6 linked regions of the Macaca fascicularis genome follow. The protein of the gene in region 1 binds, or shares a complex with, the protein of each later gene. Links are inferred from orthologs where the notes say so. Each region holds a gene or a part of one and is shown in the gene's direction. Other genes may lie near its edges.

Region 1 (4,819 bases):
ACATTCCAGGTAAAAGAATCGTGGGCAGGGGCTAAGAAATGGGAGTGAGCAGGGATTTTGGAGGTTAGCAGGCAGACTGGACAAGTCACTTCCCCAGGTTCCCAGCAGCTACCTGCATGACCTGTGGCAGACAGAGGCAGGCCACCCACCCATCCCCACCCTGTCAGGGCCCAGGCTCTGTGTGTGGGTGTGGAGGGGGGGTCTAGGCTAAAGCCCTGGGAGAGATTTGGCAGCAAGGGTATCTCTAGGTCCCCTTTCAAGCTAGGGGTGGTAGAGGAGCATCCTGGACCAGATGCCCTCCCTGACATTTCAGATTGACAGTGGACACCCAAATGAACAGTGACAGCCAAGAGCACAACCAGGGCCAGCAGAAATCAGGCTGCAGGCAGAAAAGACCCCTAGGCAAAGGCATTCTGAAGGGTTTAGGGTCAGGACACTTCAGTCTTCAGGACACAACTTCAAATAAGTGTTTCAACAAACTCCCCTAGGCACTAGGCTATGGCCCTGCCTTCACCTGGATTCTCACAGTGAGGCCCCAGCAGGCCCCCAAACTTGACCCAAGGGGCCTTGTTCCAAAGCCCACGGGCTCCTCCCCCAGAAGGAGGGAAAAGGGGCGTGGCCTTTGGGGACCTGGGTAGGCCCAGGGCTCCCAGCCTGGGTATGTCAGGATTTGCCCCTCCTCCTTCCGGTCCCTCCTCCACTCCAGGGACTGCCAACTCCTTCCACACGCCCCTTCTGGGGCTCCCTTGCCACCCCACCCCACACCGCAGCCTCAAGATCCCTCTCTTTGGGGTCTTGAGGCCGGCCCAATATACCCACTATACCCAGCCCAGCTGCCCCAACTCCTCTGGGTCCCCTAACCCCACTCCACCCCCACCCCAAGAAAACCAAGCTCGGCTTGCCTCGTTCTCTCCATGCACCCACCCAAGCACCCCCTTGGCGCTGCGCCATTCCCCACATTCATTCTCTTCCTGTTCTCATGAACACAATCCCTGTCCCTCTTTCTGAAATACTTCCCCTATTGCCCTCACTTTCTCACAGAACGGCAAACAAAGACTCACATACCCAGAAATAGCCTTGCACAGAGCTGAAAGGCACAGGCCACGTCCTGCCACACACGCAGGCGCGCGCACGGAGGCTGTCGTGGAGGGAGGCACACAGACAGGGCGTCTGTCTGCACGCACATAAGCTGACACACCACAAAAGGGCGCGGACACACACGGCGTGTGAGACAAGGGCACACACAGCTGTGGACGCAGGGCCACGCCGCCGCCCGGGCACACCCACCGCCGCCGGCCCCGGGCAGGCGCGAGGCCTCGCGGGCCGGGCTCCCCCGGTTCCTGCCAGCGAATGTTTCCCTGCTCGGCCTGCCAGGTCTCTGGGGAAAGGGCCTCAGAAATGCAGCAGGAGCCCGCTGGGGGAAAAGTTGGAACTGACTGTTCCCTGCCTGGCGCGGCCGGCGAATTCCCTGACGGAGAAACTATTTGTGGCGAGAGCCGGTGGCCGGCGACCCCCCGCCGCCTCCCCTGGCGTCCCCTCCTCGCGCCGCCTCCCGCGGGCCTCGGCGGCTTCGGGCTGCAGCACTGCTGCCCAGCGCCCGCGGCCGGGCTGGTCGGCGCGCCTCGCCGCTTATCTGCGCTGTTTGGACAGCGGGCTTGGAAAGGCAGGCGGCCCCGTCCCCGCCGAGTCAACAGGCAGACCCCGGGCCGCCGGACTATTTCTGTCTTATCAGTGCAGGAATGCGGCAGCCGCGGCCGCGGCGGCGGCGGCGGGCGGGCGGCGGCGGCGTGGGCCGTGGGCCGTCAGGGCAGCCCTGAAGGGGCCCCCTCCCCACTCCGCTCGAGTAGAAGTGTGAGAGAGCCCAGCAGGACTCAGAGGGGAGAGTTGGAGGAAAAAAAAAGGCAGAAAAGGGAAAGAAAGAGGAAGAGAGAGAGAGAGTGAGAGGAGCCGCTGAGCCCACCCCGATGGCCGCGGACGAAGTTGCCGGAGGGGCGCGCAAAGCCACGAAAAGCAAACTTTTTGAGTTTCTGGTCCATGGGGTGGTGAGTGGGGGAAAGTTAGAGGGGGAGGGCGAGCGAGCTGGCTCGGGCTGAATGGAGGGCTGATCGGGAGGGGCCGGGAGGGCACTCCCGCTCTCCCACCCCTCTAGTGGGGGGCGCCATGGCCCACGGCCCGGCTCCGGGACTGTGCTGGCGCCCTGGCACCCGAACACGTCGCCAGGCGGCCGGCCGGGTCTGGTGCGAGGCGGGGAAGGGAGGCGTTTGCATGGCTCTTGTCAGGGGCGGGGGTGGGACTTGGGGACTCTCCCCCCCAAGTGGGGAGTCCTCGCTGTAGCCGACAGGTTGACTTTCGTTCTTTTCCTTGTGGGCCCAGGTGTTGCCCCTGCCCTGGGGGTGGGGGTGGGGGATGGGGACATGGCAGAGGCTGGGCTGGGCTGTCTGTTCATCCGTTGGGACAGTGTCACTGCTTGTGTCTCCGGAGCAAGGAGCAGGTGACCCTGGAGGCACTGTAGTGGGAAGCTCGCAGGCTGAGCCACCTCTGCATCTCAGCGGGAGGGCTCTGGAGCTTCTGCCTCAGGGTCGGGGAGAGGCCCGCTCTAGGGACTTAGCCCAAGTTAGGGGTTCTGAGGGTCCCCTTGGCGGACTCAGCCACCAGAAGCTGATGTCCTTAACTCCTCGAAGGTGTGAAGGAAGGGCTGGAGTTGGGGATGTGAGGCCTAGAGACCGAAGGGACAGGGGAGCACTGTCCTGCCACAGGCAGGCTGCAAAGGCACGTGGGAGCCCGGGAGGCTGGAGCTGAGTCAGTAGGGCCTGGCTGGGAGGGGTGTGGAGGGGTGTGGAATGGGAGAGGCAGGGGCTGCGACTCTTGAGATGGGTGAGGGGGTGGAGGCCCTGTGTAGAAGAAGCTGTCAGGTTTACTATGGCCAAATTTGGTTGTGACCCCAAGGAAGGCACCTTCTCAGTAAGACCAGAGTCCCTAGGATTTTGGCCTTTCATGGGGGTGGGGCTGGAGGTGGGCACAGCTCTCTGGGGGCTCTGGAAGCCTCCCTCTCAGGGCCTCTTCAGCAGAGGAGCCAGTATCCCTGGCCTTGATAACTGGGGAGAGCAGCTGACAGGAAGAGGGGGCCTCCCTGGAGTAGCCCATCCTCCAACCCCAGGGACCCCTGGGGGTAACTTCCCAAAGTGTCCATGTCAGCTAGCTGAGTTACCAATCCTAACCTGGCTGCTGGTGGGAGCCCCTTTAAAAAGGCCCATCTAGTGGGGAGAGGCTGCACACGTGGACTTTTTTTTATCTGGCCAACTTAGAGCTTCAGTTATTGAGTGACTGTGAGCCCCAGTGCCCCATCTAGCTGGTGGCCAGGCCTGGGTTCCATTCTGGGCCGCTACCCTGGAGGCGTGAGTGACAGGGTCAGGTGGGGTGAGGGAAGCAGACACATGGACAGGCAGGTTTCACTGCAGGAGAGATAGGCAGAGACAGCTGCTGACCGAGGGTGGGAGGACATTAGGGTTAGACACAGAGCCTGGAGGGCCAGGAGGAGGTAGCAGTTGGAAGGAAAACAGCAAGCCCAAGGGGCCCCTCCTCATGCCTGGGGATGAGGTGGGTGATGTGTCCATGTTAACAGGGCCAGGGTCTGCATCCCCTGCCCTCTGATCGTCTTCCTGCTCTCGTGGTCCCAGTCCCCATCCCACCCCACTCATTCTGTTTCACAGCCCCTGAAACTCTCTCTGGCCCTCCCCATCTCCCTTCTGGAGTCTGGACAAGTGGGGTTTGGAACACTTCGCTCGATGCATTTGCATCTCATTTACACCCCATCTGACCACCCAGGGGTAGTGGCAAGGGAGGAGGAGCCGCCTCCTCTCAGTCTCCACAGCCCCCTGAACCCTGACTGCTGACCTTGCTGGGGTGGGGATGGGAAGAGGAGGAGGTGGCTGCTGACCTGGGCAGACAGGAAGGGAAATGTGAGTGGAAGTGTCACTGCCCTGACCCACCTCAGGCCCCCTGGGCAGCCCACCTCCAACGCAGCTCCCCTCCTCCCAATCAGATAATCCTGGCAGGGTCTGGGGTGCCCCCAAAGGCTGCCCTTGCCTGCCCTGCCTCCAGCCCTCACCCTGGGAGCAAATTATGAGGGCAGCTTAGACCCTGGGTCAGCGAAGACCCTGGGTGTGGGGACTTGGAGTCAGTCGAGGGGAGTGGGGTTTGGGACCGAAGGGTCAAAGCAGGGAGCAGAGTGGCTGAGATGAGGAGCTAGTGAGTGCCAGGCAGAACCGCCCAAGAAGTGAAGCCTGAGAAGGAGGAGCAGGAGGAGGAGCAGAAGTCGGAGCAGGGAGCCGGGTACCTGACTTCAACCAAGCTGCAGAGAGCAAAGCCCTGGGCCCCCAGGAGGCAGCCCTTCAGGGGTTGGCCGGGCCTGGATGAGCTGTGTGACCTTGGCGAGGTCGTTTTTCTCCTTGAGCCACAGTGGCCCCATCCGTCAAGTGGGGATGAAAGGACCTGCTCAGACTGTCTTGTAGAGGAGCATGTGGATGTGAACATCTTTGAAAGGTTGAAAGAAGCCATTAATATTCATTTTTGCGGTACCTTCCGTAGCCCCGAGGCTCGCAATGCCCTGTGCGGTGCCTGGCTTCAGTTAGCTTCCTACAGCCAGACGCCAAGCCCCTCCGCCAGAGCCGCGCGTATTCCGGCGCCCCTGCCCCTCCTACCCATCGTTCCCACCCATCGCTCAGCGCTCAGGGTCACCAGCCGAGGGTCTGGTGGGGGAGGGGAGACGCCGGCTCACCGCGCCTGGAGCTGGGGGCCCTGGTCTGACCCACGGGCGCCC
Region 2 (4,065 bases), on another chromosome or scaffold:
TGTATTTTTAGTAGAGACAGGGTTTCACCATATTTGTCAGGCTGGTCTTGAACTCCTGACCTTGTGATTTGCCTGCCTTGGCCTCCCAAAGTGTTGGGATTACAGGTGTGAGTCACCGTGCCTGGCCTCTTTTTTTGTTTTTTGAGACGGAGTCTTGCTCTGTTGCCCAGGCTAGAATGCGATGTTATAATCTCGGCTCACTGCTAGCTCCGCCTCCCGGGTTCACGTCATTCTCCTGCCTCAGCCTCCTGAGTAGTTTAGGACTACAGGCGCCTGCCAACATGCCCGGCTAATTTTTTGTATTTTTACTAGAGACCGGGTTTCACCATGTTAGCCAGGATGGTCTCGATCTCCTGACCTCATGATCCACCAGCCTAGGCCTCCCTAAGTGCTGGGATTACAGGCGTGGCCTACCGCGCCCGGCTAATTTTTGTATTTTTAGTAGAGACGGGGTTCACCGTGTTGGTCAGGCTGGTCTCTAACTCCTGACCTCAGGTGATCCGCCCGCCTCGGTCTCCCAAAGTGCTGGATTACAGGCGTGAGCCACCAAGTTCAGCCTCTCACACTGCGCTCTTTTGCTTATTAATCTTGCTTCTTGTCCTCCTCCCCCACTAGACCGTGGGATCCACGGTGGCTGAGATACAGTAGCAGATCAATAAATATTTGCTAAGCTAATTAACGGCACTCGGGAGGTTTTGCAGAGAAGGCGGCCACGGTCGGGCCCCGCCTAGCTCCCCAAACAGGCCTTGCCGCCCCAGATCAGGGATCAAAGCGGTTCCCAAGCGCGCCCTTGGTCCGCGGAAAACCACTGCCCGGTCTTGGCCCAGGCGGCCGGTCCTACGGTCCAGGGTTCCTATTTCCGAGCCTCAGGAACCTCCTTTCCCCATGGATCCCACAGCCACCGGGATCCCATCCCCCAATTGCCCCGCCGCCACCGCCGTCGCCGTCGCCGCCGCAGTGGCGCCCGCTCTGCGCATGCTCCCGTGCGTCAGGACGCGCGGCGTGCGGAGGGCGAAGCTGCCCGTGCGCAGGCGCGAGGCCTCGCAGCCCGAGTGGGGCGGTGCACGGGACGCGCGTGCTTCCTCCGGACCACGCCCACCTCTGTCAGCTCTGGAGCGGGCGCGCACGCGCGGGGGGAGAGGAAGGGCGGGCTGGCGCGCGCACAAGGCTGGGCAGGCGGCGGAAGCTGGAGAGGCCGCCGCGGTGCTGAGGGGGAGGGGAGCCGGCGAGCGCGCGCGTAGCGGGGGCGCGGGCGGCGCGCGTGTGTGTGAAGGGGGGGCGGTGGCCGAGGCAGTCGGGCGCGCGCGCGAGGCTTCCCCTCGCTTGGCGGCTGCGGCGGCTTCTTTGTTTCGTGAGGAGAAGCGAGACGCCCACTCTGCCCCCGGCCCCGCGCGGAGGGGCGGGGGCGGCGCCGGGAAGGCGACGGCGCCGGCGGCTCCCGGTAAGGAACGCGGGCCGCGGGGGCAGCGCGGCGCGGGGCCAGGGAGGGCGGTTTGAATGGAGCCGGGGCGCCGAGGGGGGAGGGGGCCGCCGGCGCGCCCTGTGCGGGACCGGGGTACGGCGGCGCCCGAGGGTCAAGAAGCGCCGCCGGCAGCCGCGCTCGTGGGGAAGGCCACAGCGTCGCGAGGCCGCGGCAGCGGCGGTCCCCGCGGAGCGGCGGGGTGGGTGGGGGGCCCGGGCCGCGTGGAGGCCGCGCGATCCTCTCTGCGCGCGCTCTCGCCGGGGTCGCCGGACAAAGCTCGCCCCCCTCGCCCGGCACCCCTACAGTAGCCCTCCCAATTGCAGCGGCTCCAACAATAGGCAGGCGTTGGGGCTTTTCTGGCTGCGTGTTAAGGGGTCCGACCCGAATGTTGCCTTTTTGGCGAAGCTACGATCTGGGCTCAGTAGCCAAACCTCCAGATATGTCCGGCGTCGGCCGGACACGGGCATTAGCGGCCCCCTTGGGCTAGCCGACTTCAAATTGTCTTAAAAACGCGTCATTCCAGATTTTCAAGGAAAGGTAAAGGACTCCCCCAATGACTTTCAGTTAGTGACTTCAAAATGTTTGCCCGGAATTGGGGTTGGGGATGGGGTCGGCGGCAAGTAAGGGAGCACGGTGGAAATCCTTTGCTGTGTAAAAGCATTGCTTTTCTTTTGCATCCTTTTTCCTCCTTCCCAATTGGTTTTTCAGATTAAGGCTTTTATTTTCAACGTGGACCTTTTAGGCGAGTGTTTTGTCCGGATCTTGAAGACACCAGTCTTGATTTTTTTTTTTTTTTTTTTTTTTTGGTCAATGTCTCCTTGGGGAAAGTAGAAAGGGAGTAAGCGGAAAAGCCACTTCGCAGGAATTTGAAACAAGTTTTCAGTTTGGATTGATAGGGTGCATTAAGCTTGATTCCTGGTGCTGTCAGTCACTTAGCACACTGTCACTTTAGGGAAGTGCTTAACCTCTCTGAACCTCTTAGTTTTCCTCCTTTGTGAAAGCTCCTTTGTGAAAGGGGGTAATCTCCCAAATGCAGTTGGTAAAAGCCTGTAAAATGGTTCCTGGCAAGTGGGAAGCACTGTTGTTACTGTCTGGTTCAGTCTCCCTCATTGTTCAGCAAATAACTTCTTGAGGTCCTACTAAGTGTTGGATGGTCGGGGGGTTGGATCCTGGAACCTCTGCAGTCTTGGAGGGGATCGGGTGGTCAACGTGGGAACAAACACTCTTGGCCTGTCATTTAATGCTCTTGACCTGCGCTGTGAGAGGGACACAGCGGACAGGCAGGGGATCGGTGGTAGCCAGAGATCACGGGGGCTGCCTGAAAGAGGGGCCCTCAAAATCAGGGAGGATATATGTAGGATTGTATTTTGTTTTTGAGACAGTCTTGCCTGTCGCCCAGGCTGAAGTTCAGTGTCCCGATCTCCGCTCACTGTAACCTCTGCCTCCTGGGTTCAAGCGATTCTCCTGCCTTAGCCTCCTGAGTAGCTGGGACTACAGGTGCCCGCCACCACGCCTGGCTAATTTTTGTATTTTTAGTAAATATGGTGTTTTACCATGTTGGCCAGGCTGGTCTCAAACTCCTGACCTCAGGTGATCCACCCACCTCGGCCTCCCAAAGTGCTAGGACTACATGTGTGAGCCACCGCGCCAGAAGTGTATTTTGACTTTCCCTGGCCACCTGGGACTAGCCATTGTTCCCCTCAGCTATACTCACGCATCACCTTGGTCCTTTCCGGTGTAGCTGTCACCCCCAGCACCGTGAGAGCTGGGGTTGTGTCTGCCTGGCTGACCCCAGAGTACTCTGGGCCTGACACATAGTAGGTCTTTAGAGAAATTCTGTGGATTGAATGAGGGGGGTGGGGTCCTGTGGAAGATCACGTGACCATCTGTGTAAAAGGCTTGGTGCAGGGTGGGGTGCAGTGGCTCACACCTGACATCCCAGCAATTTGGAAGGCTGAGGTGGGGGAATTGCTCGAGCCCAGGAATTTGAGACTAACTTGGGCAACATAGTGAGACCTCATCTCTACAAAATATATAAAAATTAGCTGGGTGTGGTGGCATGTGCCAGTGGTCCTAGCTACTCAGGAGGCTGAGGTGGGAGGATTGCTTGAACCAGAGACGTGGAGGCTGCAGTGAACCATTCTTGCGCCCCTGCATTCCAGCCTGGGTACTAGAGTAAGAATGTCTCAAAAAAAAAAAAAAAAAAAAAAAGAAAAAGGAGAAAAAAAAGCTTGGTGCAGAACTGGGCATGGGTTGTAAGGGATACAGGTTAGTTATTTTAACAGTTTTGGAACTTTCCAAGCCATTGTTTCCCGAACCTCAGTTGTCTTCCTCTCCCCTACAAAGTGTGGGGTGGTGGTTAGCGTGGGGCGGTGGTAAGGAGTACCCATTCTGGAATCAGACCTCCTGAATTCACACCCAGCTCTTGAAATCCTAGCTTAACCTCAAACGAGGCGCTTAGCAGTAGGGCCCCCACTTGTGAAACAGGTAGGACGAGGATGCCTGAAACTTCACAGGCTTCTTGTGAGGGTTGAATGAGGTCACATGGGAAGCCGCTAACACACTGCAGCACCTGATGCATAGTGAACACTCGATTTTTTTTT
Region 3 (4,243 bases), on another chromosome or scaffold:
AGGAGTTAAAGATTTCAAATCTATTACAAACAGTTATTCAGTCACTTTCTGTTTATCTGTAAATCTAATAGCGTATGTAGTTGAACTCTTGAAATTCTGGAATGTTTATTTTATTTTATTCATTGTCTTGAGAGGAGCAAAAGGAAGCGAGAGGGCATAGCTTTGAACTGGCAATTTGGCAACTTCTCTCCCCTTGCCACCCCTCCCCCACTATCTTAGCTATTTGACCTGATTAAACAGCTTTGGAATGGTAGCCAGACTTCTGTATGCTAACGAGGCCCCTACCCTATTCTCGATTTAATGCGGTTTCATCCACGCAGAGCTTCCCGGTGCCCAGTGGAAGCCTGACTTCGCAGAAGTCTCCCAATTTTGTCAGGGGCTCGCCAGTGAAGAGTTCACACTGACTTGAAGCAGACACAGACTCTTTGGACGCCTCGGGTCACATCGGATTATTCACTAGCAAATTCTTTCCACCTTCTAAGTAGTGAAAGGTGACGTCAGAATCGCGTGTGCCACTCCTCTAAAGGGACTCTGACAACACCCAGTCCAGGCTCTACGACTTCTGCCTAGGCACTTGCTTCCTAGTAGTAGAAAGTTTCCAAAGGTTGCCTCAAGTCCTCCCTACCTCTAAGCCTAAAGGTCAGAGCTCCAGGTCGCACCACCGAGCAGGAATCTGAGCATTTTGGAAGTTTCTGGTGTAGGGAGCAGAACAGAAGGGGTGGTAGCGGCGGACCGCGCAGAGTAACCCCCCTGCACTACGTAAAGAAAGCCCTGGCTGCAGGAGGGAGTGAGCCTGACATTGAGGCATTCCAGGGGGAGGGTGAGTTGCTGTCCTGGAGTCGCCAGGAACAGCAGCGGCAGTTCCAAGAAGCGAGAGAGGAAGGTGGCGGAGATAAAGAGAACACTTCGGGAATAAGAATATTAAAAAGCAGCAGGACCCAGAGCATTAGCAAACGGCAAAGCACACGAAGTAATTTGTTACACGAAGCGGCAGCCTTCCAACTTTTGTACTGAAACACGGGGATTTACCCTTTGGGGGATTAAAAATGTTGATATGCAAAGCCAAAAGCTAATGAATAGGATTCAGTGGCTTGCTGGCAATATTGAAATATTTCTGTCCAGGAGCGCAAACTCTGCAGTTATTTAGAAAAGTAGGGAGTTGAACCAAACTATAATATTCTCCCGTGCGTCTCCACTTTCCCCAGCCCGAAAAGGAGCTGCCAACGCGGTACTTCCCCTTTAAGACCTGCTGGCTCTCGGGCTCTACAAAAGGGAGTGACCTCTGGGCTTTGACAGCTCCCCTAATAACTACCACCGAGCAGGCCCCGCCCACCTGGCGACCAGCCGCGCCGATTGGCCGGCGGGCCGGTATCCCGCGCTCTGATTGGCCTGTCGCTTCCCCTGAGCGAACCTTTAGAACTCTGAGACAGACAATATTCTGTTACATTGTAGCAAAATGGCGACTGTCATTCACAACCCCCTGAAAGCGTAAGTAAGACTAAAAAATGTACATATTCCGCGTGGTTTCAATATGAAAAAAAAGGCGCCTTCTGCGTGGCGAGCGCTGCCAGTGCTTGCGCTTGCAGGCGCCTCCAGCCGCGGCGGGGCTTCTCTCTTCTTTCAGCTCTTACTTCTTTTTTTTCCCCCAACGCGCAGAAATGTCAGGAGATGCAATTAACAAGAAGAAAATTGTTACATTTGTGTTCTGCTAAATTGCAGAGAGAGCGAGAGATAGGGGTTGCCGGCGGAGGAGCCCGGCGCTCGAGCGCTCTACAGCAGGGGGGTCGCGGGAGCTCGGGGACAGCGCGGTCCCTGGAGTCCCCCGCCTCGCGGGCAGGGAGCGAGGCTCCGGGGGCGGCCGGGCGGGGGGCGAGCGTCGGGCCGGGACTGCCTCGGTGCACTTGGCCGAGCCCTGCACCCCCAAGCCCGCGGCCCCCGCCCCGCCGCTGGGTCTGCTGGGTCCGGCGGACGCACCGCGGAGGCTCCGGAGTTTGCAGGGCGCTCTTCGCCTTCCGATCGCTCGCGGGGAGTTTGTGCAAACCTTCCGGAGTTGGGAGCACCGCGGGGGAAGCAGCGGGTCCCGGGCGCGCTGGGTCCCAGGTGGTCGCCCCGGGCTTTCCCCGGCAGCCCCCGGATCTCGGAGGCGCTCCGGGCGACCGCGCGTGTGTCTGCTCGTGTGTTTGCGAGCAACCTGGCTGTAGTGGATTAACGACTCGGGTTAACTTGGGGTGGATTTGGAGGCAGGGAAGCCGCAGGTCTTATGAATGGTGTTCTCGCCACCTCTGGGTGAGGCGCCGAGGCAGGCGGAGAGGCGGTTTTGGGGCTCCTGGCCCGAGGGGGCAGCGTCTGCTCCCGGCCGGGCGAGGGGCAGGTGCCTCTGGCCGCCCCGGGGAGACTTTGAGCGCTTGTCCAGATCCTGGACAGAGTGGGGCGGGCCGGACGAGCACTCGCGGGGGCCAGCCCCGGGTCCAACAGCCAATTTCTGCCTGCCTGCCTGCCTTCCTCCTCCTTTTCATCCTGGCTTCCTTCCTTCCTTCCTTCCAGTCGGTGGAACTGTTAAGCCGCCAAGTCCGCTCGCGATCGCGGAGCCAAGGGTGGCCTCGGAAAACTAGTGTCGCTCTGAAAGGGGTGCTATTGGGTGATGTCGGCAGAGGGTGGCTCCCTCCGTATTCGAGGTGGGCTGGGGGTCCGCACCCCTTCGACCGGGACTTCCCCGCCCGGACGAAGCCGCAGGCAAAGAGGGGGAGAGGGAGGTGCGGGCCGGGTAGGGGGCGGTTCGTGCCGAATTCTCCCTGGTGCGTGGCCACTGTCGACCCTGCTTCTTTTAATTCAGCGCATTCTCGTCTTCACCCCTCGCCACTCCTGGAGTTGAAAACCAGGTTCGCTCCCGGAGACGGTAGGGGGGTTCCTAACGCAAAGGAATGCACAGGGAGAATCAGACGTGTTTGCACCAGCTCGTCGCCCACCAGAAATAGGGAAACGGGTAGGAATGCCCCAGGTTTCAAAGATATTTATATGAAAGCTGCCGTTAAGAGGACGTTGGAAGCTGAGGCTGAGCAGATAGGAGCTCCCGGCTTCAGTTCTGCCTCGGAAGCTCGGATACACTGCACTTGAACGCCACAGCGTTTCATCCAAGAAAGAAAATGTTTTATGGCAGAATAAATGGGCGTAACTTCGCCGCATCCTCGCTGCCGGTTGCTTTCGCTGCAACACCGCTGATGCTGTCTCTACCGAACCCACAACTGATTTGCAGTTTCCCCATATCCAGCCGAAATCACATAACCAGGCTGATGCCACCTGGTAAACTCAAGTTAGAGAATCTATTTCACATGTGCACCAGGTTTGTTTCCTACTGGGAAAGCCGTACCCTAGTTACCCGGGAGCCCGCTTTCGCGCGGGCGGGCGCAGTATCTCTAAGCTTCAGTGTTCCCCTGCTCGCTCCAGGGTTTTTTTGGATCACAGTAGGGTGCGCGTTTGGGGAGGGAGTCTGTGTAGGGTGGGGTTAAGGGTGGGGGAAGGGACAGACGGGGGGGAAAGAAGGTGGCGGAATCCCGGCTGGTTAGGGGAATTAGTTCTGAATTGTACTTTGTATAATTAGAAACAGTTGCAATGTGATGTATTTGTAATTGTGCCGCCACACGCATGCACACACTAGCATACACACAACGCCCCTGCTTGCTTTTTCTAGGTGGGAGTTGAGTGGTCATTTATAATTAGCCATTCCTTTCTGCTTCCCAGACCCTTTCCCTGGGGGTAAAGGGGTGTAAACAATACCCCTGACCAGCCCAGCCTCTCACACCCTGGACAGTTTTTAACTCCTAATGCAGGAGCACACACGTTGTTATTGGGAGACGGACACCATCTGCCTTTTTTTTTTTTTTTAAACAACTTGTTTAATAAAACATCTTATATATTTCATTTGTTTTTAAAAGTTGCTGATCAGGAAACAATACAAACGTGAATAAATTATGCATGGGATAAATTAGAACAAAGTGCAGAGACACATCCAGCCGAAGGGATGGTGGTGGTGCAGGGAGGAGGGGTAGCGGAGAGAATGGTTTGGAGAGCTATGTTTTTATCCTCATGTGTCCCTCCTGACAATGAAACAGAGCTGAATGACATTAGCATTTTCTCTGTGTGCGTTCTGAGTCTCTCTCTTCCCTCCAAAAAAAAAAAAAAAAAAAAAAAAAAAAAAAAAAAAGCCAACACCACGGACGCCCCCTACAGAAAATGGTCACACAAA
Region 4 (4,148 bases), on another chromosome or scaffold:
TAGAACCAACCAGAAAAAAATGTTTAATAGAGAATTCTTGCACTGTCCTTAGAGATCCTTGGACCAGAATGCAGAAAGGAGGGCACCATTCTGTGATTTGCCTCTGCAACTGGGGATCAGATCATGTATTTGCTGGAGGAAACAATAACTTGGCAAACTCTCTCTCCTCTCTTTCCATGTGCTAGGCAAGTGATGAAAGAGGAGTGAGGCTGACTTCAGCTCTGTCACAGATGTTGACTCACCACTGGTCTGCCTTCTCTCTCCCTTGCCACTCCCTTCCTTCTGCCAAAGTTAGCATGCTGGATCAGTAGGATGCAAAGCTGCGCATGACCCTTTTTGGGGCTGGACACTGTCATCTGGCCAGATAAACTAACAGGCTAGCAAATCCAGTTGGGGCTGGTTGTACTTTGCCCACGTCTGTTGCAGCATATGGTGCATTCACTTGAAGTGACTGACAGAGCTATTTAACTTTGCAGTTTGTTCGTCTGATGCCCCTACCCAAATACCACACATACTGTCACATATTGGTGAACAGTCTTCAGTGTGGTTGCAATTCATGGCTATCATAAGGGGAATACTTTAAAATTGGATTTGAGCTCCATAGTTCCTAAGATGGCAGAGCTGGACAGAAACATTTGGAGACATACCCTTTAATTGGCCCCATAAATTTATACAGAAAGAAATTGAAGCAGAAAGATTGAGTGACTCCCGCAAGGACTCACACAGCCAGTTAGTATTAGGACTAGAGCTAGAACCTTCGACCCTGACTTCCAACTCAGTGTTTTTTCCAGCTCAGGCTGTTCACATGTTGCCTTTCATTTTATCTCCAAAATTTGGCCCCTTGGAACCTTTCCTGGAATTGGACTTCTGAGCCTAAAGTGGCTTAATGCACACTTTTGGGAAAGGATAGCCAGGAGGCCTCTAAGTGGTTTTGATCAAGTTTGCCAGTATTTACACCCTAGGATGATCTGCATAAACTTCATAAATAATGTAAATTCCTACAAAGTGAGTTAACAGTGAGCTACATGGTCTTTTGAAAAATCCGTGTTATGCAATCACCCTGGCAAAGTTAACAACGCAATAGAGTACTGAAGGTAACCACTGATTGCAGTCACTGCTATTGACCATTTTAAGTGTGACTATTTTTAAAATACTGTATGCCTCATTAAGCTGGGCTCTGAAAATGAGGAATTTGCTTTAACTGCATTGTTTTGAATTGCTGAGAGAAGAATCTATCAACCACAAGGTGCCCTGCTGCTGAACTCAGCCAAAAAGCTGTTAATAACTCCAGCAGATGTTTCAGCTTTTTAGGCCAATAGACTCCCTTTCTCCCTGCCCTCCCCTTTCCAGAATCTGATGCCAATATGACTGAACTCCAGTTTTTGTGGTGGTTGTCGCCACCGCCGCCGCTGCTAGGGCCGGTGATACAATGCCGCTGAGGAATGATCCTTTAAACAACCGGTGGCCACAGAACCTCAGCCCTTTAAGGTCAGAATATTATTGCTTTTACCATCAGAAATTTAAATCTTCAGGGGGGAAATGAAGGTAAGGGCACAAATTCAGTATCTTTGTTTTGTTGTCTGCCTTCATTGCTAGTCATTTTGTTTAGCTTTTTGTGGCTTCTCCCAATGCTAAAAGTGCATTTCTCAGACTCATCAGAGTGCTGGGCTTGCTAAGGTTAAGGGTCATTCATACACTGGAGGCTCCACTGATCCGGGAGAGAGGTTCTTGGGTTAGCAGCTTTACAAAGGGGGCCTCTGCGTGATGCACAGTTTTGTGTGGTTGTATGCCTGATACCGTGTGGCTCAGATGCCCTGACCTTAGCACTTCTGCAATATTAGATGTGAGTTTTATAAACACAGCTACATCCCTGTGAGATAGGTAGAGTATGAGGGCACACAGGGTCACCGCAGTCCCATACCAGGATTTATCAACATCTCTGAACTGGGATAAACCTGACATTGTCACCTGAAATTAAATCTACATTCCAATCTTTCCAAATGAGAAGACGTTAGAAATAAAGGCGGAGGAGAGATCCTGCCCCCTTCCCTGACACTTCCTGCCCTGCCTCCTACTCAATTATTTTGGAGAGGGTGCTTTAACACACCCTGGTGACAACAGGGTGACCAAGAAAACACAGGTGCACCGCATTATGAAATGCTGTGTTGGCTAGGAACACATCTGAACTGCACATCTATACACATCATCATGCAGAGAATTGCCATTTCAAGGGGGGAAAAAATGAGAGGCAGAATTAAGTTCATAAATATTTTGTTTCCTTATTTTGATGCAACACAAAGCCAGAATATCCAGGACTCTGTGGACCTCTATTGTCAGCTTCAACATTTGCCAACCATAGTAATTCAACCCCCAAATCTCTGCTGTATGCCATACTGGCTGTAAAAAGTAAGTGCCTTTTCCCTGGTGTCGCTGCCACCATACTGTTTGCATGCTCTCAGCCCTGTATCATTCTAATTCTCAAGAAAAGCTCAGGAATACAACGCAAGCCCCGCCGCCCCATCACTTTTTTAACTTGGATAAAGAAATAGATTACATTGTGACTTGGTCCACATTCTCTTAAGTACATGTGCAGAGAACTCATTAATGCTAATGGAATTTGCGCATATGCATTGAAGGGAGAATATAGTTGCCCGTGCCTGTGTATTCTTTATTTTCTTACTGTACACTTGAGGGTTCTGTGGCACCTATAGCTTCTAATTCTGAAACATGAGTAATTCAGATTAAAAAGTATACCATTCATTTTGAAATATATTTCAAAAGCAAATGGGATGGATATTTCTGCTTAGATCACTATGATTCCAAGAAGCCAATACCAGATGATGATTCTTTAGTAAAATAAGCAACCAATGTTGTAATAATAAAATACGGTTAAAAAAAAACAGCAAAAACTCGCTACTGAATCAGTAGAAAATATATTCTCATTATTTAAAAAATACCTACAAAATAACCCACATGCATGTCTAGGGGAGTAAAAACACAAGATGATGGGGTAAAAAAGAACTGAAAATAATCATAGGTAATCTGAGACTCCAAGCCTGCCAGCAGTGAATATTGGTGACAGGCATTAACAAACTATGTGGGGATGTCTGAGGCCCAGCTAAATCCAGACCATGTACTTCATTAGGTCTTGAACTTTACCTGGAATCTTGTACTGCAAATGATGATTTCCAAACTGTTTTGTTCTTGATTATTTCCAGTCCAAGTAAAATGGACAATAAAGAAAAGATGCTTCCATGCTGTTTCCATGATGGATGTTCACAACCAAAATAACTTCACCATCTGATGTATTTCACAGTTTTAAGTTAAAACAGACATACTATAATATGCTTGTACATCTGGCTCAGGTGCTTCATTTGCCATATGTTTGTGAAATAATCCAAGGAGATGTTACAATTGTACGTTCCCCTTGGGACTTGAAGAAAATGTGCCCACAAAGAGTTACCTAATTATTCATTCCTGCCAACAACATCCTCTCCTAATAAGAAGGTGGTTCTTAAAATGAGACAATAGTGCTTTCAGTCTTGAGAGATGTCAGTACCACTTATTGTTTCAGAAACAGAAAATCTTATGCATTTTTTAAAATAAGAAAAAGATCTTTGGCCTTTAAAGCAAATAAAATACTCTGCAGGCGGTATATTTGGTATTCTTGTGGGGGCAAATTCTGCAGCGCTGATCAAGGCCTATTATTTCCTGAAACTCATTGAATTAAAGCCCATGAAGCCACATAGAAATTAGTGACCCAAAGTTGATAGTCTCTAAGGAATGGCTGCTCTGGCAATACTATACATTTATGGAGAACTTTGTAATCGGCAAATTGCTTTCATATATGTTACCACATTTAATTCTTATAATAATTTTGTGAAGCAGGTAAAAAAAGGCATCCCTTGTTTAATCATGCCACTTGTAGTACTGATTCTTCACAGCACTAATAAGCAAAATATGAACATCTTTTTTTAAAAAAATTGTAAATTACTTTGGTCTTTACCAATAAATACCACTTGCCATAGCACACATTTCTCTCTTTAAGAGTCATTGACAATCTGCTTTTTTCCCTCTTTTCCTGTTATTTGCATCCTTCTAAACTATGACTTTTTCTGATTCTATTTTAATTAAAAATTTGATTTTCT
Region 5 (4,290 bases), on another chromosome or scaffold:
GGGCTGGTCTGGCTGCGGCGGAGAGAACGAAGCTGGATTAGGAGTGGCTTGAAGTCCGGGCGTTGTCAGTGGTGACCTCTCAGACCTGAGGCAAGTGGGCCAGGCTGGACCGGGCGTGTTAACGTCGGTGTTTGTCAATGTGATGCGCTAGAAATACTCCCCTCATCTTTCCCAACTTTTGTTTGCTGAGTGTAGGCAACACTAATGAATGGAAAGGAGACAGGATTGTACTTTAAATCCGACAGCATTTTTTACTCTCCAGAACAAGTCATCTGGAGACGCAAGCCAGCTGTATGGCGGGCCGCCCCGGACCAGGCTCGGCTCCTCACTTCCCGCTGTTTTCAGTGCGGTCCTAGAAGTGCCCTGATGCAGCCCGACATCAGTAATAAATGCATCTGAAACCCACCGGCTCCCACGTTCTCGCGGGGGTACCTGCCAGGCCGGCGTCCAGGCTCCTCCCCGGCTCCCGGCCGACCGCGTTCTCGGCGGAGGCATCAACCACGCGGGAACGCAAAGCCGCGAGGGCCAAATCTCAGCGACTTCTTCCCGCCGTGCCTCCCGCACGCTCCGGCGCGGGCGTCGACAGCCCGCGGGGACAGCTTTGGATGCTCGGGGAAGCGCGGCCCTGGCAGGTGGCTCCGCGGCTCTCTCGGAGCGTCGCCAGCGAGAGGGGCGGTCCGAGAACAAAGGCGGGCGAGGAGCGACGACTGCGAGCGCACGGAGGCGGAGGCCGCGCAGTCTCCGCGCGGCTGCTCCGAGCAGGGCGACCCCCGGCAGGGAGGGGGTGGGGCGGGGACCCCCGGAGGGGCGGGGCGGGGCAGGGCAGGGCGGGCGCCACCGGGAGAGAGGAAGGGAGCGAGGGTGACGCGTGGAGGGGCCGGGCCGGGGGCCGCGGGGAGGGGGCGGCTGCGAGCGCGCCAAGTGGCGACGAGCCGGGCCGGGGCGGGCCGGAGGGCGGGCGGGAGGTGGGGCGCGCCGCGGGCTGGGGGGAGCCGCGGTCGAGTACAGCGCCGGGCCGTGGGGAGTCAGGCGGCGGCGGGGCTGAGGCGGCCGCGGGGCTGAGGGGAGCAGGGGGGCTGAGGCGGCTGTGGGGTTGAGGGGAGCGGCGGGGCTGAGGCGGCGGTGGCGCTGAGGCGAGCGAGCGGCGGGGCTGAAGGGAGCCGCGGCGGCGCTGTGGGGGGGGCAGCGGCGCTTAGGCCATCGGCGGAGCTGTGGGGGGCGGCGGTGCTGAGGCGGCGGCCGCGGCCGGGCGGGTTGGGCTGACGAGAGAAGCGCCGCCGCCGCCTGGCCTCCTCCATTCCGGCCCGCAGCCCCGCGCCCTTCCAGCCTCTGGCGCCCTCCCGCGCGGGCAGCGCGCTGGCGGCGGCCATGGCGGTGGCGGCGGCGCTGGCGGGCCGCGGGGCGCGCGGCGGCAGGGGCCGGCCCCCGGGCGGGCGGGCGGAGGGGGCGGGGCCGGGGCGGCGGGGGGCCCGCGCGGCGGCGGCGGCGGCGGCGGCAGCGGCGGCGGCGGCCGGGACGAGGCGGAGGCGACGGCGTCGGCGGCGGCGCGGGGCGCTCGGGCTGATGGCGGCGGCGGCCGGGCCCGGGGCTGCGCTGTCCCCGCGGCCGTGCGACAGCGACCCAGCTACCCCCGGAGCGCAGTCCCCGAAGGTGAGGAAGCGGCCGGTGCGACCCGACCCTGACCCCGTCCGGGGCCCGTGTGCCGGGGCCTCGGCCCAGTCCCACCGGCGGCCGCCTAGCGTCTCGGGGGCGTGGGCCCCAGGCCGGGCTCCGCGCCTGAAACCGGGGGTGGTCGGCCAGGCGGGGCCCCGAGGGGAGCCCGCGGCCTCTAGCGAGCAACAAGTGCGGGCGGGCGGGCGGGCGGGCGGGGGACGCGGCGCGGCTTCCCCGAAGTTGGCGGCCGGCCCCGCTTGACAAGCTTGTCCCCAAAACGCCTGTTCCGGGGCTAGCCGCGGAACGGAACGCGTCCGGGGCCGAAAGAGTTGGCCTCGGAGGGGCCTGCAGAAGCGCGCTAGTTCGCTCAGTCTTCATTCCGCGCATAGTTTGCTGAAGTGTTTGAAAGCTTACTGCAAAAAACCGAGTGGCGAACGATATGGAAAATCAACACACTCAGTTTGTGAACTTAGTGTAATAACTAAGTAAATACGCAAGCGTCCGGATGTTTTCGGCGGAAGTCTTTTTTTTTTTAAACTTTTTACTGCTTGAGGAGGTGAAAAATTGGTGTTTGTGGAGAAAATGGAGATGAGCAGTAGAGTGTCACGCATCAAAACGTTTTGGTTCCAAAGTTAGGCTAGCAGTTTGTGACAGAAGGTTGGAAGGGAGGAATGATGTTTTAAAAGCCTCGAAACTTGAAATTGGGTTGAAATTAGAAGGCGGCGGGAACTGAAATGCTTCAGAGCCAGCCAGCCTTCGTACGGTGTGCGGTGTGCGGTGTGCGCGTTGGCAGGGGAAGCCATCCTGTGGCAGCCTAGCGGGGCTGCGCCTGCCCGGGAGCTTTTCCCGTTGCGCACGTCTGTCGTGCCGTAAGAGAAAGACTTGTTTTGAAGGTTCCTCAAAGGCCCTCGCCAATGGAAGTAACTAGATTGTAAGACTCTGAATGCACAGCCTTGCACTTCCAGTGTTTGACGTCTGGCCCGGCACCTGGAGGGCACTGAGCTAGTGCCCACTGAGTGCATTCTTGACCCCTGAGCCTTAAGAAGGACGTGATGCATAGAAATTCATCTGATCCGTAGGTGGAAACCACCTATAACTCTGGAAGGCACATCTCTGATTTAGTACATTTGGGAGTCTTTGAAAACATGGGCCTGTGTATCAGTATTGCGATTACACGGAAATTCTTACCTTATTCCGTCGTGTATTGGGAACAATATTGCTGTTACTACCTCTCTCTAGAAAAAGGCTCTCTGCCCAGATGCTCACTTTGTATAATAATGCCTTTGCCTAGAATTTGTACTAGTAATTTAAAACACTTTTTGAAATTGTAGTCTCAGCTTTTTTGAGCACTTTGCATTTTTAACTATTTTTGTATATTTTTGAGTGTCTCAATTTTTTAGCTAAAGGGAAATATACTTAAGTTTAAGGACATAAAAATCCTTAAAATGCTCACAAATAAAATAGAAAAAAAATACTGGAATGTTTAAAATGAGTTATGTTAAAAGTATTGAATATGAAATGTTGCAGTTGTGATACTTATGCAAATTTTCAGAGAGTAGATTTAGACTGTGCAGAGCTCTTTAATGAAATGCTAATTTTATAAGGACTGAAAAAGATTATATATTTTACTATTTGGAAAGGAACCAGTAAATTCCTAGGAGCTAGGGACATTTGAGACTTTATTATCATAATCATCATTTTAACTAGTATTTGTCAGATAATTCGCTAGTCCTTGTTCTAAGTACTTTTAATATAGTAGCTCATTTAATCATTGAATTAGCCATGTAATAGGGGCTCTGTTATAATCTCAAATTTTCAGATAAGGAGATGCTTACAGAGAGTAACTTACTCAGCTAGTAAGGGACGGTGCCCAGTGAGAACCTAGGCCGTCCAGCTCTGGCATGCCTGGCCACTATACCATATTGCCACTTTATATTCTTTTGTAGGATTCCTTTCATTTTAATATGTAGCAAGAACACCATGATATTTAGCAAAATTGGATTAGCGTTAAAAGCTATATTACATTTTAAAAATTATGATTTTTTTAGACCTTAAGCTTTGGCTGATAAGTAAATAAATCAATTTCCTAACATCTGATACATTTTCTGAGTGCAGTGTTTGAATTTATAACCTTCATGTTCTTGCCACATAATGTATTACATTAAAAATATATAAGCCTCTTCCTTAAAAAAAAAAAATTCCCCTCCCCCTCTCAAGGTTCTTTTTTTGAAGTGTGTGTTGCTATATTATAGATTGATGACCCTTACTAGGGTATATTTTTGCTAACCTTTAGCAATGTAAGAGGAAGAGTGAATAGTTAGAATTGTTTTCAGTCTTGTATGTCCCCTTTTCATGGGGACATAAATGCCTAGTCAATTAAAATAGTCCTATGAACCGACTCCAAGTTGAACTGGGAACTGTAAATGATCCATACATTTTTTCCCCCCTGGGCTTGGGTAGGAGAGTTTGCTTTAATCCTAGAGTGATGCAGCAGTTTTATGTGTTTATGAAGAGCAGAAAGCATTTTAACCTCAGTTGGCAAGAAAGCAAAAGCAGATTTACATTTACGGGTTAATTGAAAATACTCTTATTTTGATTGGATTGAAGATCAGTTTTAAATTTTATTCCAGGTCTTGC
Region 6 (4,280 bases), on another chromosome or scaffold:
GCATGCACCACCACGCGTGGCTAATTTTTGTAGTTTTAGTAGAGACGGGGTTTCACTATGTTGGCCAGGCTGGTCTCGAACTCCTGACCTTGTGATCAGCCCACCTTGGCCTCCCAAAGTGTTGGGATTACAGGCGTGAGCCATCTCGCCTGGCCCTCCTGATCACATTCTATTCATTTTTTTATTTAATATATTTTACTGTCCGTGACACAGCCCTCAGGAGATCCTGAAAACGTACATACCCTCATTTTTAAAAGGTCTCAAAACCTTATCAGCAGTTAGTCACTTTCTCATAAGCAATTAGTTACTTGCTTCTCTGAGATCATATAGCATTATGTTCACAACTCCATTATGGCCAGTCGTACTTTTTGAAACAGGGTTTTGCTCTGTCGCCCAGGATGGTGTCGTGAGTGGCGCGATTATAGCTCACTGCAGCAGCCTGCATCTCCCCAGCTCAAGCGATCCTCCCACCTCAGCCCTCCAAGAGGCTAGGAGCACAGGCTTGCAACACAATGCCCGGCTGCTTTTTGTACTTTTTTGGAGAGACGGGGACGGGCGTGGCGGTCTAGAGCTCCTGAGGTCAGTCGATCGTTCCGCCTCAGCCTCCCAAAGTGCTCCACGCCCGGCCAATCATACCTTGATAATTTAAAAATTTTCGGCTTCTATATGGGCCATTCATTAATTCATCAAGTATTCACTGTACATGTATTCATTGTCTCAGGTGTTCAGGATACACCTGTGAACAAGTTAAGATTAGGTTCTCATGTAATTTATGTGGAAGGTAAATGAGAAACTAAAAACACCGGGTCATGGTAAGCGCTACGCAGAAAGTGTATGGGTGTGAACAGTTCAAGATTGTAAGATATGACAACGGCTTTCTGAAGTCCTTTGAACCAGTGAATCTGAACGCGTCTCATAAGTGAAAATCAGAAGGGAAGACCCGCTGAGGTCTCCGAAACAGCCGATGCAAGGGCCCGTGGGGGCAGGAATGAGCCGCTGTGGCTGGACCCCTGAGGGAGTGGAAGGTCTGTGAAGCCGAAAAGCCTTGGCGTGGGCGTCCCAGATGGCTCTTCCCAAATGCCGCCGGGCCGCTGGGGGTGGAGGGTCTAAGGGAAAGCCGGGCCCGGCGCACTCGATACCCTAGGCAGGCTTTCCCCTCGGCACTTCTCGCACCAGACCTTTTCCCTTCAGCGGAGGCAGGCTATGACACAGAATCAACCTGCGGTTGTTAACCGCATAACGATTCGACGTCGGTAGCGAGGGAAGAGCATGGCTCAATAACCGGCACTCACTAGGGGAGAACGGAGCCTACAGAGGCTGGCGGAAGAGGCGGCTGGACGTGCTAGTCCAAGGCGCGCCCGCACGAGTGCTGCGCATGCGTATGCGCGGGCTCGCGTCGGATACGGCGCCAGTCCCGAGAGGGGGCGGGGCCGGGCGTCCGCACCGGAAGGGGGTTGGCTGGGCGGGGCCGGGAAGCGGCAGTGGCGGCTACGCGCGCGCGGGCGCGCGCGGGAACGAACGGGAAACACCGCGAGGGCTGGGGTGGGCCAGGCTGTGGGGACGACGGGCTGCGACGATGGCCGCAGCGGCGGGCGGCGGCGGGCCTGGGGCAGCGGTAGGCGCCACGGGCTCGGGGGCCGCGGCGGTAGCCGCAGGCCTAGCCGTTTATCGGCGGAAGGATGGGGGTCCGGCCACCAAGTTTTGGGAGAGCCCGGAGACGGTGTCCCAGCTGGATTCGGTGCGGGTCTGGCTGGGCAAGCACTACAAGAAGGTGGGTTCGCGCGCCCATGGGGGCCGGGAGACCACGCGACTGGGGCCGGAGGCGGCATCTGGCCTCGCGGGCCTCGGGCCTCCCCTCCCCCCCGCACGCCACGAGGGACAACAAAGGCAGGCGCAGGGCCCGCCACGCCCCCGCCGTCCGCTCTGGGCGCCCGCGCGCCGGTGGCCTGACGGGTCAGGCGCTTGTTCTTGTGAGCCCACGCACCCCTGGCGAAAGCCCCTGCTCAGTCTCGTGTGCCAGAGCAGGTCGAGCTCAGCCACTAGGCGAGTGTGACTCTCTTTTGTCAGCTGCCTTAGGTGTATGAACAATGATCCCTAAAGACCGAGCAAGCGTGGTAAAAGCAGCTTCAAGTTTTGTTTAGAGAGTATTCAAAGTCTCGAGGGGGTTTGCTACCTGTTGTTGATTTGCTAAACGACTGGGATGATTGTATTCGTTAATTACTAACAGGTAATGTGAATTCTAGGATGGATGAGAGCTATTAACGACGGTTTCTACCTCATTGTGCTTCTGGTTCTGTGTGGCGTGAGAGTTAATGTTCACTTGTACGTAAAGTGTTCTTCAGGGAGGCCTTCCGAGAACCCAGTTTTTATTAGAGCACTTTTCTTATGTCACCTTTATTTTCTTCGTAGTGTTTACCACATTTTGAAATTAGTCATTTACTTATTTATCCTACCTTTGGAATGGAAGTTCCGCCGAGTCAGTAGTTTTCAAAGTTTTGACTTAATCCCTTGTTTATAACATTTTTTTTTTCTCCAACTTCCCCTTTGTGTAAATATTCCGGAGAACTCCCTTAAAGGGTGTAATGAAGCAGGTAGTCAAAAAGGCTCCCCAGCCTCTGAAGTTTTCCTATCACCCTCTTTAATTCTGTACTTTCTCCTATTGAGGATCATAGCACTGAAGAAAGGGCTTTGTTCACTACAGTGTATCCGGGAACGTGGCTGATACTTAGTGCCTTACCCTTAGTAGCTGCTTAGTAAATATTTGTTTAATGAATGAAAAGATAAACTAGGAACCTATTTATTTGGCCTTTACAGCTCAGTGAAGCCTGTCAGTGTTTGGCAGTTATTAGGCATGGGCAGGGATCTTGGGTTCCTTTGGCATTACACGTGGTACATTCGGAAATGACCATTTCTGGCCGGGCGCGGTTTGGGAGGCCGAGGCGGGTGGATCACCTGAAGTGAGGAGTTCGAGACCAGCCTGACCAACATGGTGAAGCCCCGTCTTTCCAAAAAATACAAAATTAGTCGGGTGTGGCAGCACACGCCTGTAATCCCAGCTACTCGGGAGGCTGGGGCAGGAGAATAGCTTGAACCTAGGAGGCAGAGGCTGCAGTGAGCCGAGACCGCACCATTACACTCCAGCCTGGGTAATAGAGTAAGACTCTGTCTCAAAAAACAAAAACAAACAAGCAAAAAACAAACCCCAGAAATGACCATTTCTTTCTTTCTTTTTTATTTTGGAAGTTCAGCTGGGAAAAATTACATTTCTTGTCTGAAGTTTGAGGAAGTGAGAGACAGTAATTATATTTTTAGGTGCTTGGACCCCCCCCCCAAATTACATTTAGACTCTAGATGTTTAGTAATATTGCCCTTTCTTACACAGTGATAAATTGGTCACTTTTTATTTTATTTTATTTTATTTTTGAGACGGAGTCTCGGTCTGTCGCCCAGGCTGGAGTGCAGTGGTGCGATCTCCGCTAACTGCAAGCTCCACCGCCTCCCGGGTTCACGCCATTCTCCTGCCTCAGCCTCCCTAGAAGCTGGGATTACAGGCACCCACCACCACGCCTGGCTAATTTTTTTGTATTTTTAGTAGAGACGAAGTTTCACCGTGTTCGCCAGGATGGTCTCGATCTCCTGACCTCGTGATCCGCCCGCCTCGGCCTCCCAAAGTGCTGGGATTACAGGCGTGAGCCACCGCGCTTTTTAAACGTAGGTAATAGAGCTTCCAGGAGTGGCTAGTGGGATTGAATATGTTATGAAAATATTGGTTAATTCTTTCTTATTACATTCCTTTTAGCCAATGCTTTGGGTCTTAAATTCAGTGAAGCTTTAACAAAGAAAAATAATCTAGAGATGTTCCTTTGAATATCAAGGAAGAGAGTAGAAAAAGGCAAATTTCAGTAATTTCTACCTCTCCACACTGTTCAGTGTGCATCAGTTTGGGACCAACTACAAGAAGCTTTAGGTGTGGATAATCATCTTCAGATATTTGTTTGGGTGGGTAGGGAAGTGGCTACAAAGCAGTTTGAAGAATTGCCCAGTAGTATTGAGACCACTAGGCTAATGTTGATTCACTATCCCTGAGACTTTATAGACAAAGTTGTCTTTGACTTCTCAGGACTTTGTAAAGCCAGAGTGTATTTCTGTGGTCTACTGAGATTGAGAATCATATATGCCCTAGGCCTGACAGCCAGAATCTTTTCAGTCTCTGGGTGTTAGTGTCGAAGTGGTGAAAATATTATCAGAAGGTTCTTTGCTTCTTTTCTACACAATGCATT

What was found.
Region 2: SMARCD3 (region 1) and SMARCA4 share a complex: the UniProt entries of both Homo sapiens proteins name them as parts of the BAF complex. The link is inferred for Macaca fascicularis from reciprocal best matches to the Homo sapiens genes SMARCD3 and SMARCA4.
Region 3: SMARCD3 (region 1) and DPF3 share a complex: the UniProt entries of both Homo sapiens proteins name them as parts of the BAF complex. The link is inferred for Macaca fascicularis from reciprocal best matches to the Homo sapiens genes SMARCD3 and DPF3.
Region 4: SMARCD3 (region 1) and SMARCA2 share a complex: the UniProt entries of both Homo sapiens proteins name them as parts of the BAF complex. The link is inferred for Macaca fascicularis from reciprocal best matches to the Homo sapiens genes SMARCD3 and SMARCA2.
Region 5: SMARCD3 (region 1) and PHF10 share a complex: the UniProt entries of both Homo sapiens proteins name them as parts of the neural progenitors-specific chromatin remodeling complex. The link is inferred for Macaca fascicularis from reciprocal best matches to the Homo sapiens genes SMARCD3 and PHF10.
Region 6: SMARCD3 (region 1) and SMARCC1 share a complex: the UniProt entries of both Homo sapiens proteins name them as parts of the BAF complex. The link is inferred for Macaca fascicularis from reciprocal best matches to the Homo sapiens genes SMARCD3 and SMARCC1.

Annotation. Positions count from the first base shown.
Region 1 is NC_088377.1:192,527,694-192,532,512, reverse strand, and holds the start of SMARCD3 (SWI/SNF-related matrix-associated actin-dependent regulator of chromatin subfamily D member 3), read left to right. Parts: upstream 1-1,566; 5' UTR 1,567-1,964; coding exon 1,965-2,042; intron 2,043-4,305; exon of another isoform or gene 4,306-4,542; intron 4,543-4,819. UniProt on the Homo sapiens protein: Involved in transcriptional activation and repression of select genes by chromatin remodeling (alteration of DNA-nucleosome topology).
Region 2 is NC_088393.1:11,528,765-11,532,829, forward strand, and holds the start of SMARCA4 (transcription activator BRG1), read left to right. Parts: upstream 1-1,265; 5' UTR 1,266-1,441; intron 1,442-4,065. UniProt on the Homo sapiens protein: ATPase involved in transcriptional activation and repression of select genes by chromatin remodeling (alteration of DNA-nucleosome topology).
Region 3 is NC_088381.1:140,763,275-140,767,517, reverse strand, and holds the start of DPF3 (zinc finger protein DPF3), read left to right. Parts: upstream 1-1,443; 5' UTR 1,444-1,456; coding exon 1,457-1,488; intron 1,489-1,494; exon of another isoform or gene 1,495-1,668; coding exon of another isoform or gene 1,669-2,077; intron 2,078-2,127; coding exon of another isoform or gene 2,128-2,201; exon of another isoform or gene 2,202-2,326; intron 2,327-4,243. Other genes in the region: uncharacterized protein, read left to right, coding at 1,669-2,077, 2,128-2,201. UniProt on the Homo sapiens protein: Belongs to the neuron-specific chromatin remodeling complex (nBAF complex).
Region 4 is NC_088389.1:97,177,729-97,181,876, reverse strand, and holds the start of SMARCA2 (probable global transcription activator SNF2L2), read left to right. Parts: upstream 1-1,348; 5' UTR 1,349-1,488; intron 1,489-4,148. UniProt on the Homo sapiens protein: ATPase involved in transcriptional activation and repression of select genes by chromatin remodeling (alteration of DNA-nucleosome topology).
Region 5 is NC_088378.1:1,310,712-1,315,001, forward strand, and holds the start of PHF10 (PHD finger protein 10), read left to right. Parts: upstream 1-1,490; 5' UTR 1,491-1,563; coding exon 1,564-1,650; intron 1,651-4,290. UniProt on the Homo sapiens protein: Involved in transcription activity regulation by chromatin remodeling. Belongs to the neural progenitors-specific chromatin remodeling complex (npBAF complex) and is required for the proliferation of neural progenitors.
Region 6 is NC_088376.1:110,703,931-110,708,210, reverse strand, and holds the start of SMARCC1 (SWI/SNF complex subunit SMARCC1), read left to right. Parts: upstream 1-1,480; 5' UTR 1,481-1,576; coding exon 1,577-1,771; intron 1,772-4,280. UniProt on the Homo sapiens protein: Involved in transcriptional activation and repression of select genes by chromatin remodeling (alteration of DNA-nucleosome topology).